Daphnia pulex: one gene and its partner. The protein of the gene in region 1 interacts with the protein of each later gene in a pairwise test. Links are inferred from orthologs where the notes say so. Each region holds a gene or a part of one and is shown on either strand. Other genes may lie near its edges.

What was found.
Region 2: the proteins of myosin-VIIa-like (region 1) and calmodulin interact in binary tests that used the Drosophila melanogaster proteins (3 or more experiments, as listed by UniProt). The link is inferred for Daphnia pulex from reciprocal best matches to the Drosophila melanogaster genes ck and Cam.

Annotation. Positions count from the first base shown.
Region 1 is NC_060022.1:1,966,315-1,970,886, forward strand, and holds the start of myosin-VIIa-like, read left to right. Parts: upstream 1-1,689; 5' UTR 1,690-1,900; coding exon 1,901-1,945; intron 1,946-2,311; coding exon 2,312-2,425; intron 2,426-2,689; coding exon 2,690-2,836; intron 2,837-2,909; coding exon 2,910-3,094; intron 3,095-3,242; coding exon 3,243-3,364; intron 3,365-3,425; coding exon 3,426-3,682; intron 3,683-3,767; coding exon 3,768-3,933; intron 3,934-4,021; coding exon 4,022-4,152; intron 4,153-4,211; coding exon 4,212-4,396; intron 4,397-4,465; coding exon 4,466-4,572. UniProt on the Drosophila melanogaster protein: Myosins are actin-based motor molecules with ATPase activity. Unconventional myosins serve in intracellular movements: can function in cells as a single-molecule cargo transporter.
Region 2 is NC_060018.1:7,623,733-7,628,083, forward strand, and holds the start of calmodulin, read left to right. Parts: upstream 1-1,388; 5' UTR 1,389-1,630; coding exon 1,631-1,633; intron 1,634-2,200; coding exon 2,201-2,375; intron 2,376-2,663; coding exon 2,664-2,906; intron 2,907-3,571; coding exon 3,572-3,600; 3' UTR 3,601-4,351. UniProt on the Drosophila melanogaster protein: Calmodulin mediates the control of a large number of enzymes, ion channels and other proteins by Ca(2+). Among the enzymes to be stimulated by the calmodulin-Ca(2+) complex are a number of protein kinases and phosphatases.

The DNA of each region.
Region 1 (4,572 bases):
TCTTGTTGTTACTTGGTTCATGGAGGAAAGAAAGAAAAGGCAACGTATGTCAGTCATGGAAATGTTGAATAATGGGCATGGCCGCTATTGAAATTGACATTTCTCCGCCGTGGGTGTTTGTGTAAATGTATTTACTTCATCACGCGGCTGCTGAGCACACGGCTGTTGTTGGCTGCCTGTTGGTCAATGACCCTCTCTCTCCCGGTGATGGTGTACCTGCGCTCTCTTCTCCACTGAGAGATGAACAGCAAAAAAAGCCAACGCCCGACACACGTAACATACATTGGTCGACCGCAGCCAGACATTCAGTAAAATTAAACAGCCGATGAAACTCAACAACGCGCCTTTCATATATCCGAAACGGAAGTTTTATTTCCGGTTTTGAATGGCGGGCGAGCGGACGTCCGGTTTTTAAAATATCGGCCGACTGATGATTCCTAATAAAGCGAAAGGGGGTTAGACATTTTTGTTTGGGTTGGAAAACATTTTTAGGAGAGAGAAAAAACAAAAACAAATCCAACTGTGAAACCCAGAACGAAACAACAAAGACAGACAGAAAAAAGTGACGCAATTGGGTCGCGCAGTGATGATTTTTTTTCTTCTTTTTCCGGTACACACATCTGCTGTTATGTGTTTAGGTTACACCACAAGAGTCACACAAGAGAAGTGAGACCTCCACCACCAAGATGTTGTTGCCTTTTCTTTGGTTATATTGTTCTTCCAGGGCCATATTGTGTAATAGCGCATGGACTAGAAGAAGAAGAAGAAGAAGAAGAAGAGACACCCACAAAAGTCAGTTGACGGAAGAAGGTTCAAAAACATGTACTGAAGGAGATAACGGGTTCGGCAACAGTCTGGGTATTTTCTCTTGGATGGTGCGACCGCAGTGTATAGTATATAGGAGGTCGTCATCGTCATTTACCACCGTGAAAAAGAATCGGAAAACAATATCGCAGCTAATGCTATACACACACACACACACGAGATGAGGGAGTGCGTGTGTGTGTCTCTACACACATGTGTCGTCTACCGCCAATGAACGTTTAACGATTAAGGACAACGTATTCTGAAAGATGCAACGACGCGGAACTAAAAGTCGAGAAAACTGAAAAAAAAGAAAAGAACCGGAGGTAAAACTGCTGGCTGAAGAACACAGAGAGGGAATCTGAATCTATTCAGCGAGTATAGTATATAGCTGTAACTTAATGTTTTATATATATTTTTCCCCTAGCTGCGACTCTCAGTGTGGCTGCCAACTCATTCAAAGGCGGTTGTTGGAATCTCTTTTCGTTGCAAGGCGTACGTGCTTTAGACTCTTGCGGCCATCCACCTGCTGTTCTTTTCTTATTATTATTACGTATACAGTATACCTTTTGGGCTCTGCGAGTGTTTCCAAATATCTACTAAGAAAAAGAAAAAGAAGTGGACACTGAGAAAACAGCTGACTGTTCAGGGCGGTAGCCAAGCAATAAGTGGAAAAATAAAAGAGAATGTAATCAAACAAGGAATGTTTTTTTCGTTGGGGGGATTTTTTCCCCAATCCTTGTGATACGCAATGTGTGTTTGGACTAGACGTCAGTTAATGAATGCCAATTGATCACGTGAACTTTGAGTCATTTTCATTTTTTTCCTTATCATTTGGGAAGTAGAGATAAGACGGTGTGCTGGCCTCTCCCTGCTCGCCATTATCACATCAAACAGTTTGTTCGCATCGAGTTTGAAGGTTTGACGTCGGTTGAATTCTCAAGTTTCTGATTATTCGGGAGAGTGAAAGTTTTGATTTTGGAAATTAAGGGCATACGTTGATTGTAGTTCAATCAAGTCACGATCGTCCATGGTCTCTCTGTGTTGTCGCCATTATTTGTCAAGTCGAGATTAACGTTGGCGGCTGGAAGAAAAGATGTCGGAAGAAGGCGATGGCTCGTCGACTCAGATTCTTACCTACGTGAGTTCCTAATTTTCCCTAGAACTGGTGGGCACTTGTTGCCGCGTCCAACTTTCCAAACTGCCCAGTGCCCATGTGTTTTGTTGTTATTTCGAGGTCAGCACGGTTTTCCCCTTGCCAAACAGAAGGTGGACATACGGGCCAATGATCATGTCAATGTCCCATTCTTATTGCACGACAATCCTCCGCTCTGCTTCGTCCACAATCCCGTTACAACTTCATTTTTGTCTGTTTTTTTTCTTTGTGAACCAAGTCCACCCCCCGTGGAGATTCGTTCCAATTTCGATGGAAAAATATAACAAAATGTTGTGACACTTGCTCGTTTAATATGATAATCAATTTGGAAATTAATTTCATTTCTATTAGGGCGACTATGTCTGGATCGAGCCCAGCACCAAACGAGAATTCGATGTGGCGATCGGGGCCCGGGTCGTTTCGGCCGAGGGCAAACGGATCCAGGTCGTCGACGACGACGGCAAAGTAAGTCTTATGTCACCTTTTTGTCTTTTATTTTTCCCCATCAGCCGTCAGCACGAAATGGTGAGGCAACAGCACCCCACCTTTTGTTTCAAACCGTTTCGAAATGCGTTGGTGACCGCAAGTCTCGATCTAAGCCACACAGATAAGAGCAATTTAGAACGTCACAACGTCAAATTGGTTTTCCCCTCCTCCTTCTTGTGTATTTATTTGCTTAAAAGTGTCATTCACAATTTTGTGTCACATTTTTTAAATTGAATTGCGCAGGAACAATGGCTGACGCCGGAACGACGCATCAAAGCCATGCATCCGACGTCCATTCAGGGCGTCCAGGATATGATTTCACTGGGTGATTTGCACGAGGCTGGTATCTTGCGCAATCTGCACATTCGCTACAATGAAAGCATCATATACGTACGTCATAGACTCATTTCATTGATTTATTTTTATGAGATGATCAATTGTTGATTTGATTTTTTGGTAACAGACTTACACCGGTTCGATTCTGGTGGCCGTCAATCCCTACCAGATTCTGCCCATTTACACGGCCGAGCAAATTAAAATGTACAGGGAGCGGAAAATCGGCGAATTGCCTCCGCACATTTTCGCCATCGGCGATAATTGCTACTCTCAAATGAAACGCTTTCGACAGGATCAGTGCATCGTTATCAGGTGAGACTTGTACATTGTTTAATAGATTACATAAAATTACGGTCGAAATTCCATTTCGTCTTGGTTGTTTCTTGATGTTCTCAATTCTCAGCGCACACCTGGGTTACCCGAGATTAATCATTTATTTCTTTTCTTATTGCGTTATCAGCGGTGAGTCTGGCGCTGGTAAAACTGAAAGTACCAAATTGATTTTGCAATACCTGGCGGCCATTAGCGGGAAACATTCGTGGATCGAGCAGCAAATCCTTGAAGCTAATCCCATCTTGGAAGGTATTTATTAAAATAATTCCCCTTAAAGTATGAAATGACGTCATTTGATTTGGTTAATTAGCCTTCGGAAACGCCAAAACTGTGCGGAATGACAACTCGTCTCGTTTCGGCAAGTACATCGACATCAGCTTCAACAAACACGGCACAATCGAAGGAGCCAATATCGAGCAGTACCTGCTGGAGAAATCGCGCATTGTGGCCCAGAATCCTGGCGAGAGGAACTACCACATCTTTTATTGCATGCTGGCCGGCATGACCAAAGAAGACAAGCAGAAATTCGATTTGCAGGATGCCAGCCAATACAAATACCTCACTGGGGTATATACAAGTTCAATTTATTCCCATTGTATTTGTTATATAGTGGAATGCGTTATTCAAAATTGGGTTTTTTAACATGTTACAGGGCAACAGCACGACGTGCCAGGGAAGGAACGACGCCAATGAATTTGCCGAAATCCGATCGGCCATGAAAGTCCTGCTCTTTACTGAGCCGGAAATTTCCGACATTCTTCGAGTTCTGGCCGCTCTTTTGCACCTGGGAAACGTTTCCTTCAAAGGAGTTGTCATCAGTAAGAAGTTCATTTAACATTTTGTTCACGACTCGGTAAACAAAATATTAACGTTGGAAACATTCTCGCCATTCTTCCCTTTGTCCAGGCAATATGGACGCTAGTGAAATTCCAGATCCTTCCAACGCTATTCGCGTCTCCAAGTTGCTGGGTGTTGATCCTCGAGAGATGGTTGACGCCCTTACCACTAAAACCATTTTCGCCCAGGGAGATTCAGTGGTCAGTTAATATTGAAATTGAATTCCCATTTGACAGAGATAATTGAATTGTATTTGCAGGTATCGAGGTTATCCAAAGTGCAAGCTGTAGATGTTCGAGATGCTTTTGCTAAAGGTATTTACGGGCGACTCTTCATCTGGATTGTTACCAAGTTGAACTGTGCCATCCGCAAATCCGACGAAATGGACACGAGCTCCATCGGAGTCCTGGACATTTTTGGTTTCGAAAATTTCAGCATCAACAGGTATTAAAGAATTGACTGGACACTAGTTGAAATGGCGGAATCTAATTTGTGTTTTTGGATCGAATAAAGTTTCGAACAGTTTTGCATCAACTACGCCAACGAGAATCTGCAGCAATTCTTCGTCCGACACATTTTCAAGTTGGAACAAGAGGAATACAATCAGGAGAATATCAGCT
Region 2 (4,351 bases), on another chromosome or scaffold:
CGTTCCCAGGGGAATTTCTAACGTACAGAGTTTTACAGCGTGTAACAAGAAGACCAGTGAAAACAATTTCCGTGGTGATCGCCCCCCACCCGCCCGACCCTTTTTGGTCTCGCGTCGATTTGATTTGTCCGCCGCAAATAGAAATTAGATTTTACCAATGACTTTTCCCATTTTATTGACTTGCGTGAACGAATTCGTCGCGTACCTTTTTTTTATTTTCACTGGCGCGATGTCGTACCAATGCGGAAAGTTAATTGCATTACATTTGAAAAGTCTGCAGCACCCAACACTTTCTGCACGATGATGGAATTTAAATATTTGACTTTACACTCAGATATTTCGGCATAATTCAGTTAACGGCAAACACAAGTTGCACATTATTCCGTTTCCTTCCCTTTTTTCCCCGTGTGTGTGTGTGCGCCAACTTTTTCAACTTTAGCTACTTTGTGCGGATTGATTGAAACGTTAAGTCGGAATTTGGTTTCGAAATGAAAATGAATAAATACGTACACACTTTACACAAAAGACACGTTTTGGGGCGCAGTTGAATAGATCCCATTATTCGTACTACAATAATAGCTTTCATTTGATGATATTTTCTCATTGAAACATCTCACTTTCGTTTTTGATGTTACATCTCCAAGGCGGATGTATAAAGTGAAAGTTACAAAATCAAGAATTTCCCATAGTGTGCGAGTTTACTCTAGCCTTTTGAAAAGGATGTAGATTTTCTATTAGTTTGGTGGCTAGACTTCTTTTATAAAAAAAAACCCCAACTTTACCCACAGGGGTGCCCTGTAACAATGGTCGAATTTATTTCCGGTCTGAGAGTTGGTACGAATTTATAACATTGGCAACCAATATAGCCCACGCATATATAGGATGTCTTTGAGAGAAGACATGTGTATAGTTTAGCAGCAGCAGCAGCAGCAAGGTCAACAACATTCCGTCTCGCACTGAAGCGTGTCAAGCATAACGCCGAGCCTTTGCAATTACGCCAAATAACATTCGCCACTCTAGCGCAATATCATTTCTATTCAGGGCTGATGGTCTCTCCATATATATAATAAAACCCGAAACTCATATGGACTGACGGTATATAGAAAAGCTTAGAGCTTATACTCATCATTCTTGACGTCTACTGTGCTGCATACATACTACTGCGACGCTGGGACGGCCATATGACAACTTGTATCGGAGTTGATCCGTCCCTGACGGTGTGTGTGTGTGTACCACCGCATTGCTCAATGACTCCCGATTTTGAAAGTCTAGAAAAAGAATTACGGTAAAAGAAGGAGAGAAAAAAAAAAGTCAACTTATTTTATTTTTTGAGGATTCGAAATAGTAAGAAGGTTGCGCTATACCCGGTCAATATACGTAGAGAGAGAAAAGGGCTTCTTCCTCCTCTCCGCAATGTGCATGTGGCGCCTCTAGTCGGGCCCCGCCTCTTTTCCCACTCTCTCTCTTCCTCCGAGCATTCGGCTCAGTTGGCTGTCGTCTGTTGTGCTTGGTGAACGTCCCCCGTCGCTGCTCGTTGTGGTACCGCCTTTGCTCTCTCTCCTGCCCCGTCGTCCAGGATAACTTAGTTTTTTTCCCCGACAACTCTCTATTTCATCCAATAATATCCACTATGGTAAGTACTTCCACGTCGGCATCCTCTCCCAACCGGCACACGAAAATTCCGCCATTTTTAGTGCCTAGCCTACACTTGACGGAAATATAGATTTTATGACTGGAGAAGAGTCGGGTGGGTCGGGGGGAGGGGGAAGTAAAATCAAACGACCTTTTTCTTTTTTTTTTTCTTTTTTCCTATTTTCTTCTCAGATAGTTGTCGCTTTTGACATTGCCGGCTCGTTGTACTGAAACAGGGGGCAATTTGGCCGTCATCGCCCTCGAAATGTCGAATGCTTCTTTCTTTTCTAATTTTGGAGTAGCTCGTAACAGCTTGCTGCTGCACACGTCAATTTAAGCTCGGCACACAACCAGACTTGAAGCTCTCAAACAATATGGTTGCACACTGACCAGACAAGGCCAGTAGTAAAGAGAAAGTTGGTACTGCTAGATTTATTCAGGGCAAATTTACACAGTCTGGTTTGAGCAATGTTAATACCAATCAAGGCTCTCTCTTTATTACTCATGTTGAAATGTCTTGGAATTCTCAAGACAATTATATTAACCAGAAACATTTGTACCTCTACAGGCTGACCAGTTGACAGAAGAACAGATTGCTGAGTTCAAGGAAGCCTTCTCCTTGTTTGACAAAGATGGTGACGGCACCATCACCACCAAAGAGTTGGGAACTGTCATGAGGTCGCTTGGACAGAACCCCACTGAAGCTGAACTCCAGGACATGATCAATGAAGTTGATGCTGATGGTACACACATTATTCAATTTTTCTAATTTATTGCAACTCCAATAGATTATCAAGTATTCTGACAAGTTTGTTTTTGCTGCTTAAGTGGCTTGACTGCTTGATTCTTGGCAGTCAAAAGACTTCCTGAAATATCTGCTCTCTGCTCGCAGAACTTTTCTTGAATGAGAATACTGGCTGCATGTTTTCAATATCAATGAAAATTGTTTTGAACCACGTTCATTTCTTATTGTTCATTTTGTTTCTAATCATACAGAAATCTAATGTAGTTCTTATCATTCTAATCCAAAGGTAACGGAACAATCGACTTCCCCGAGTTTCTGACGATGATGGCTCGCAAAATGAAAGATACCGACAGCGAGGAAGAGATTCGAGAAGCCTTCCGTGTGTTTGACAAGGACGGCAATGGTTTCATTTCAGCTGCTGAGCTCCGGCACGTCATGACCAATCTAGGAGAAAAGTTGACCGACGAAGAAGTCGATGAAATGATTCGCGAAGCTGACATCGACGGAGACGGCCAAGTTAACTATGAAGGTAAAAACTATGATATGTCATGCTCACCTGCATCCAATTTTCTTTTATCGCAGTCGACATCGTCTGTCCGCCTGTTAAACCCTTAGATTTTTAACTAAGCCCTGCATTTACAAATAGTCAGATATCCACATTTTTAGGGAGGTTCTTGCATGCACGTGCGGGTCCCATACTTTCCCAGATGGACCAAAAAATAATGTGGAATATGGAAGTAGAAATATTAATTTAAAAAGCTGCTTTTGGTTCCATGTGTCTAGAAACTATCAAAGACGCACCTTTAATATTCTGTTGGTACACAGACGCATAATTTCTAGACTCTGTGACAAATGTCAATGTGACAACGTAACTCAATTATAAATTTTCTATTTAACAACCATGGCTTAACCTAATCCGATTTTAATCTGATTTTGGAGGCATTCACAAACAGTTTTGGTGTTAGAAACATGATGATGCATCGATTTTAAACCGAAATTAGCGCGTTACCTCTAAAATATTCATCGTCTTTCGTCGTAAAGATTCAGTCCAACCTGGTCCTTTAATATGTGACCTGAATTCCCAAGACGTTTTAAAATTTGATAGTCGATGCAGGACAACTCCTATTTTCCCCCACTTTTGTCTAGTTTATAGTGGAATCGATGATACTAACACGATTTTTCTTATCTTTGCAGAATTCGTGACCATGATGACCTCGAAATGAATAAATCCTGCGGTGTCGTGCCCCTTCCCCAGTGAGCCGTGTGTAGCGTGGACGTGGTTGTGTTTACCGAAACAACAATCAACAACAAAACGTACCATACTTTTCAAAGCAACTGTTTGTAAGACTACAACAACACCCGGCTGACGATACGCAAAACAAGAAAAAGAAAAAAAAAAAAAGAAAATAAGCCAGTTGTCATTGATCTTTCGAGGGCGGCATCCATTTTGTGAAGGGAAAATAACATCACCAGATTTCTGTTTCAAATAGTTTTTTTTTTCCTTTTTTTTTTGCTTTTTTAAAAATATTTTGTGTGTAAAAAAAAACTAACGTCAACGTTACTGTCTAAAAACACTTTGGTTCCCATGCATATAAGCTGCGCTCGTCCAGTGTAGTGTTGTGAACTGCCGTGCTGCTCGGGGATGGAATACTGGACCAAGTTAATTTAAAACAGAATACGAATCGGCAGATTAAGAAAAGAAAAAAAAACATAACATGGGGAATTATTTGTCTTAAAAAAATAAGTGATTTTTTCGTCAGCTGTAGAAGAAATTCGATACATTCACCATCAACCAGAACCCTTCCTCTCGTTTTTACCCTTTCGTTCATATAAAAAAAAACTTGTTTGGTTCAACCTTCATCGTTTGTGTCTAGTTTTGCTCTTTTTCATCCCTTAAATTTTCGTTGTTTTTGAACCATCTGTACACAAAATCGAGCAACGGCTGAGCTGGGTAGTGGTGTGAGAGAATGGCAG